Linked DNA regions of Arabidopsis thaliana. The protein of the gene in region 2 binds, or shares a complex with, the protein of the main gene of each other region. Each region holds a gene or a part of one and is shown on either strand. Other genes may lie near its edges.

Evidence for each region.
Region 1: TIM17-3 (region 2) and TIM23-2 share a complex: the UniProt entries of both Arabidopsis thaliana proteins name them as parts of the TIM17:23 complex.

Annotation. Positions count from the first base shown.
Region 1 is NC_003070.9:27,381,647-27,385,335, forward strand, and holds TIM23-2 (translocase inner membrane subunit 23-2), read left to right. Parts: upstream 1-1,718; 5' UTR 1,719-1,909; coding exon of another isoform or gene 1,910-1,930; coding exon 1,931-2,497; 3' UTR 2,498-2,878; downstream 2,879-3,689. Other genes in the region: AT1G72740 (Homeodomain-like/winged-helix DNA-binding family protein), read right to left, coding at 60-144, 288-502, 892-1,041; AT1G72755 (uncharacterized protein), read right to left, coding at 1,910-1,937, 2,135-2,172; AT1G72760 (Protein kinase superfamily protein), read right to left, coding at 3,642-3,671. UniProt on the Arabidopsis thaliana protein: Essential component of the TIM17:23 complex, a complex that mediates the translocation of transit peptide-containing proteins across the mitochondrial inner membrane. Links the inner and outer membranes.
Region 2 is NC_003076.8:3,759,061-3,762,909, reverse strand, and holds TIM17-3 (translocase inner membrane subunit 17-3), read right to left. Parts: upstream 1,723-3,849; 5' UTR 1,419-1,722; intron 1,172-1,418; 5' UTR 1,152-1,171; coding exon 750-1,151; 3' UTR 564-749; downstream 1-563. Other genes in the region: AT5G11680 (classical AGP protein), read right to left, coding at 2,276-2,378, 2,476-2,702, 2,794-2,865, 2,992-3,103, 3,338-3,447. UniProt on the Arabidopsis thaliana protein: Essential component of the TIM17:23 complex, a complex that mediates the translocation of transit peptide-containing proteins across the mitochondrial inner membrane. Links the inner and outer membranes.

The DNA.
Region 1 (3,689 bases), on a different chromosome or scaffold from region 2:
CGAGCACATATAATTTTCTGATCTGTGCATAATAAATAGCAGAGAGAAATTTGTCAAACCTCAATGAAATGATAAATGGAACTGACATCAGATCCATTACCATCGGCTAAAGCAGAGAGAGCTTCAAATATCACCCCGTCATACCTGAAAATAGGGACATATCAGAAGTTTAGCAATACATGATGAAGATTATTACTCAGAGTTGATAGACTAGCATTTATGGAACTAGTCTCTCATCATACTTTCTGGCCTCAAGTATGAGAAATAGAGAACAAAGAAAGACAAACCTAGGAGCATTCTTTGTATTTTCATCAGGGATCAACTCAGAAGGTAAAGTACGCCGACCGGGAGGAGGTGGAATAGTAGGAATAGGCCGTGGAATAGTGACAGCATCATTTGCATCTGCAGCCGGAGTGTCGCCTTCCTCTTTGACTTTTGCTGGCCGTGCCTTATTAGTTAAACTTTGAGTACCAGGGGGAACACTCAAGTTACGCCACTTATCCTATTAAGTATTGAAACACACAAAATTTTCAAACTCTTCTTCATAAGACTACCACCAAGTAAAAGAAATCCATAGCAAAATGAAGGACAGTACTACTCTTTCCACCTCAAATCTCCAACTCAACCAAGCTAGCTTTAGGTATTGCACACTTGAATCAATAAAAAAAAAAACTTATAATCTATCCAAGGAATCTCTAATCCTATAACCAATGATAAGAGGCAACACTAATAAAACCTATTGCCAAAAGTTTTGATTTTTTATGGATCTTAAACTAAGCAGATACGACAGAGTACATAATGCACTCCGGGTTGGTCTCAAATTCGATGTCTAGGTTTAATATATGGTTCAACGAGAGTGATTTTAAAGAGGTGAGTGAAGAAAAGAGAAACCTTTAGGTCAATGTTGGAGCGATGGATGAGCTGATCAGCGAATTCTGGATCCCGGAGAATATTCTTCCACTTTCCAGGACCGTGCTTTCTGATTCCGGCGAGTAACGCCTCCTCTTCCTCCGCCGTCCACTTTAGTTTCTGGTTTCCCATCTAACCCTTGCGTGATTTACCTCGTGCTCTCTCTCTCTCTCCAAGACAATCGGCGTGTAAACGGAGTTAGACGCAGTCTCTTCGCCGTAGCTTTCGCCGGAGGTTTCGTTTATTTTTGGCTCTGCGCAGTTGTGTGACTGCGGGAGGAGGTTTCCAGTTTGCAAAACTTTTTCGATTATTTACTTCCGAATTTATGCTTTTTATTTTGTCTTCTATTTACGCTCTCGAAATTAAATCGAATTTTTTTTTTTGGCCTTTTGACTTAAATTAAAAACAAATAAGCTTTGTATTTGAATCCTTAATTATTTTATTTGAAGTTTAGTTCTCTAAATAAAAACTGATGACAAAAAAAATTCATAAAATTAGGTTCGTTCGTCGTAAAAATATTTCTGACATTATAAGAGAAACACCTGAAAATTCGAGGATGTTTGGTTGTCACGATGGATTGCAATTTTGCAAAGTAATTAAGTATGACTTTGAAAAGTCCAATGTTGAAGAGGTTAATTTTGTAAAAATTAAACTTATGGGGTCACATTCGAAATATCAGCAAATACAGTGTGTGGTGGTAAGAGAAAACCAACTTGGGTTTAAATAGAGAAAATAAAATAAATGGGGTTAAGTTCGAAATAAACGTAAACGCGAGTATTAAGCGAATCTGGTACTGCGCGTATCTGGAAACAACTGGACTGAGTCTTTCCCTAAAAACCCTAAACATAGATTTTTAGTTTAGTTTGGTTTCATTTCTCATTTCGGCAACCAAACCAAACATTCAGAGAGACACAACACAACCACATCATCACACGTTTCTCTCTCTCTCTTTCCTCTCCGTCGTCTCTCTCTCTCTAGCCACCACCAAAATCCTTAAAACCTAGACTTTTCTCTTCCATCGATGGCGGCTAATAACAGATCCGATCATGGGTCAGACGAAAACACAAGACTTTACAATCCTTACCAAAACTACGAAGTCCCAATCAACAAATCTCAGTACCTTTACAAGCTTCCTACCTCCCCTGAGTTTCTCTTCACGGAGGAGGCTTTAAGGCAACGTAGATCTTGGGGTGAGAATCTCACTTTCTACACCGGAACAGCTTACCTCGGTGGCTCCGTTGCCGGAGCTTCTGTTGGAGTCATCACTGGAGTCAAAAGCTTCGAATCTGGCGACACTACTAAGCTCAAAATCAACAGGATCTTGAACTCTTCTGGTCAAACTGGTCGAACTTGGGGTAATCGGATTGGTATCATTGGATTGGTTTACGCAGGGATCGAGAGTGGTATTGTGGCTGCCACGGATAGAGATGATGTTTGGACCAGTGTGGTGGCTGGTCTTGGAACCGGAGCTGTTTGTAGAGCGGCGAGAGGAGTGAGATCTGCAGCTGTAGCTGGTGCTCTTGGTGGACTTGCGGCTGGAGCTGTTGTAGCTGGGAAGCAAATTGTGAAGCGGTATGTGCCCATTTGAAGACTGCAAGAGTCTAATTGGCAGACTCTTTTTCGGGTCGTTGTTGAAATTTTTGATAGGGGAAATGGTGAGAATTTGATAGGTTTGGTATGTCTTGGAATCATAAAAATGAAAACTTTATTTGGTTTCTAGAGGTACAACAAGTCTGTATGTCAAGTCATAATGCAGTTTCACTTTGAAGAATAACCTGCAAACCTTTTTCTTATATTCATACTGATTAAATGTTTTGCCGATTGGTAATTTAATTTGTCATGAGTGTGTTTGTTCTAGTTAGTGTTTTATGTTTCTGTTTTTGATCAATGTTAACTCTTTCTTGATTCGTTGAGAAACTGATGTGTTGTATTACATTTGAAAATGAAGCTCTTCTCTCAAGTTTTTTCTTATCATTTTGTTAATTGGGATGGTGTAGTGTGTTCACATAATTGTATACCTCTGTTTATCTCATTGAGTACTAACCTGATATTTGATGGTGTTATTTTGTTACCTATTATATCCCCCTGGTTCTATTTCTCTGGACTGTTCTCTGCTCTTAGCTATTAATTTTGTCTCCAAGATTTCACAAGCTTATGATGATGGATCAGTCACTTTTGGTTTTGTGGTTTTTGGTTCTCAAGTCTCAGGCATATTGTGTAGCAAACCTTCTCTAAACTCTTACCGTCTCTAGACCTTATCAGCTGCTCTAAATGAAGAACAAATAGTGTCCTCTAATCTTTTTATTAAAGCCTTAAACTTTCAGTTTTGCAGCTTGCTTAGAATTTTTGTTTTGTTTCAGAAGATCATGTACCTGCAAAATGACATTTCGTCTGATTTCTTCATTCGAATGAGGGTCTTTACATCAATAAACAAGTCTTCTTTAAAGTGTAGAATTTTACATGAACAAAACTAAAAGAATGTTTCATATACAAAGATAAGGGAACTCCCCACACGCTATGGGAGATCACCCCACTGAACTCTGGAAGGAGCACAACTCATAAAAGACCAACCGTTGCCTTTGTACTTGCTTGTATGTGATCTTGGAGGTCGACTCCTTCTAGGTATAGGATGGTTACGGGTCTTAGAAGGATCAAGATAGTCGTGGATCTCAGGTACTGCCATTTTCAGCTTCTGGTTGATCTACGTCGAATTTCCATGTTTTTATCAATACTCAATATGATTTTCTCAATTCATCCTCTATCTACATGGCACAGAAATT
Region 2 (3,849 bases):
CAAGTTTGGAGTGGGGATTTCAGTTTGTTTTTTTTGTTCTTTTGTTTCTCTTCTTGTAATTCTATTACTCCAGGTGAATAGAATTAGGATACAAAAGAGAAGGAACTCTGATTGTTAAAAGAAAAAAAGTTTATTTGAGGGATATAATTAGGGACAAAAACATGTAATCTAAAGATCCTGTTTGGGTTTCTTGGGGCTCTCGGTTTTGGTTTTGAGTGGATATGGTCGTGTTGGTGACTGGTGAAGATCCTCCTTCAAAGGTTGTATGTAAATAAGTGAGAAACCAGAATGATGATCTATCTACTTGAGGCTGTGCTTATTATATCTGCCTCAGTACACCTGAGTTGTTTTTTGGTGTATATTATTGACAAGAAATGGATTTGGTTCTTGATTTGGTGTGTGCACTAGTTGGGACTTAACTAAGGAGTTTTTTTCAGAATGATCAAAATCAGGGAATAATTTAACTTTTGACTGTCGAGCTCAATAATATCTTTGACTCATTCCCTCATCTTCCCCTTCCCAAATGTTTTTCCCCTGAGATTTCATCTACTTAAAAGAAACTATTCAAAAAGGAACACTTGAATAGCAATAATTAGTTCTTGATGACGTTTATACAAAAATGATCAGAAATTCTCAACCACGAAATCTGTTAAACTTTCCATGAAACAGTAATTTTGAAGAATTGATAACGAAAAGGCAATTATCATGAAAGTCTAAATGACATTCTCATCAAAGACAACCCAAAAAGCTTACTTGCTCCCGAACGGAGGGTTGAGTACAGCCAAAAAAAAACCAAACATAACCGCTGATGTTGAAGCTGCAACAACCCCTTTTCGGATAGACAGAACTCCACCTGTAGCAGCACCCGCTACGATGGAGTTCCATGGATCTTCCTTCTTCCTGATGCGCACCAATGCATAGTCAAATGTTGAGAGCAATCCTCCAAATACAGCAAAAGTGCCTCCCAAGCGAGGAGCATTCATGCTAGCCGCTTGTGTTCCTCCAACATATCGAGCACCTATTGGGGAATTGTATGCCCCTCTCACGAAATGATATACAGAACCTCCAACAGCTCCCGCTCCAAATGCATAACCGATAGCATTGACTATACGGTATAGGCCATGTTCCTTAGATTTCTTCTTAGTGTCCATGTTCCTGACAATGCTAGTTTCTACAGAGGAAGGTCAGAGATCTCACAACAAAACTGAATGAACCAATCATCTTAAGAACAAACCGCATAAAAAGCTGCAAATTTTGAAAAGGGCTAATTATCGAAGCTAAGAAATCCTCCGCTTATGAATTGAGCTCAGCACAAGAATCCGAATACCAGAGATATACATCACAGAAACTAATCTAGGAATGATAGAAATTCTGATTCCATTAAGAGCAAACAAAACGGAGCTTGGTTAAACACTAACCAGAAAAGAAGCAGCAGATTCTAGTGACCGATAATGAAGTCGCTTCTAATCAGAGAGGGCGTGCGAGCCCCCGAAATTAGGGTTTCTAGGTGAAAACGATCGACAATTGTAAATCCTCACTCGTACCTTCGCTCTCGCTCCTCCTAATTTGGACCAGTGTCGCTATAAATTTCTGCAGAACTAACTAGAATGCTATGCCTAGTGAGTGTTACAATTTGTTTTGTCAGAAAAAAAACACCCTGGTCTTTGTTTTTTTTAATAAATGGCTGGAAAGCCACTTTCTCTGGAAAATAAAGCTAGAATGCCACCTTCGTATTTTCATTTTCTTTTACAATTTTGTTTTAAATCAAAAACTAAGGAAAGGTCCAAAAACCCAATTTCAATATTGAAAACTACCAACCCAACCTAAAGTATCCGATTATCCATTCCAAATTTTATGGTCCAACCCTGAACCTCAAATCTTAGTCCATTGGGTTTTAGCTTGCAAAATATATGTTTTGTGGTTTTGTGTGTCCCACTAGTGGCCACGACTTACTACAAGCTCAAGTATTCGCGATTTAGCTGAAGAAAATTGAGCGTGCGGATCAGCCAAATCCGACTTTTCATGGTTCAGGCGAACCGGCAGGGTTTTCGACCCACATTTTGTTCAATATATGAACCAAACTTATGATTATTACGACTCCAATTTTACCAGATACATCCACACACCAAACAAGTCTCATCTTTCTTTACACAGATGGTTTTAGACTTTTAGTTTTCAACTTTAAACAAACAAACAACACGTTTTGCTTATTAGCAACACTAATCTGTTGCTGTTTCTGTATTCATAGCCTTTGTATTTTTTTTTTCCGTGTATCTCAATGTTCCGCCGCACCCGAATGGTAAGCTCTACGCCTCAACTGAGATTCCCCTGATGGCTGTTGCAGATATATCCTCGTTGGATCATTAGGGTCCACGTACCTGCACATACACAATGACGACCACACAAGATTTTATGAGGAACAACAGCTTTTACTACTATCAAAAAACTTTCCGATTGATTTCTGATGGGACTTACGCATGTCTCATCATTTCGTCCACAGGTGTCTGAGCGGCTTGAAGAGGATCAACATGAGGAGCTGCCGCTGCTGCTTCTGCTGCTTGTTGCATTTGTCTGTTGTATTGTCTCACTGATGATATGAGATTCAAGAAGAGAGGAACAAATGTCCCACAACCACCTTCCTTAAATAGGATCTTGAAACTGTGTGTTGAATATAGAGCTCTATGCTCATTTTCTGGCACCACCTGGAAATTTTGTTACATGCCAATAAGTAAATATGTATAGTTTCCTTACAAGGAAAGAAACTATAAATTCTCCATGAAAGTTTGTACTTACAGGCTCCACTTGTCCAGCAATATTGTTGCAGTGAAATATTGGCTGATTAAATTTCTCGGCATGGATGTAAAGCTACAGAGTAACATATAATCCATAAGCTAATATGTAGCATGTAGTTCCATAACCAAATTTAACAGAGCTACACTTGTGCCATGTATTAACTAAATCAGAGACAAAAATAAGATAAAGTTACTGTACCAGGGGCATGTCAAAAGCAACAAAGTTGTCAACAGGCTTGCTTGAAACAAAGACCATCCGTATATTAGACAAGTAAATCACCCCCTTGGCCTTAACATGACCTCCATGCCCTCTGGATCATACAACAAGAAAGAACATCAGGGAAGTGTTTAAAGCCCAGAGCTCATATGTCTGTTCACTTCTGAGACTTATCTTATTTACAAGTAAACTTAATGGTTCATATGCTAGATGAGTGGATCTAAACCGACTCAAAACGGTACTAAAATGGAGACCAACAATAATCATCAAATCAATAAACCACTTAAGGAGATCCAAAACATGCGTGACGAGAGAAGGGAACACGAACCCAGGGATCTTGTCGACTTCAAACTCAACACCATCTCGGACTAGGACGAACATTTCATTAACAAAGGGAACAGGCATCCCATTGGGTAGTAATTGAGGGTTTAGCGCCATGAACTGCAATTCAGATTGATCAAGCCAATGATTATATAATTCCTTGTTCTGTTCTTCTTCTCTGCGTAACCTGATCACACAAATGAGAATATAAACACATTTCCAAATATACTTAGACAATCAGAAGATAATTCAAAGGAACATGCTCCAAATTAGCAAATAATTATTCACAGATCCAAGTAACTAGAGCCAATTAACATCCACATATCATCAGCTTCCAATTTCAGATATGCAAAAGAGCAAATAAAATTGAGGTTTTTAGCTAATTCAAATCGAAACGTTCCTATAATGTAGAAACAAAGACTAGGATTAATAATACGTGTTCAAAACAAATCAATCAACAAAGAAAATATCTAATTCCTTAGAGAATCAAAATCTGATAGCAATAAGAAAGCAGTAACA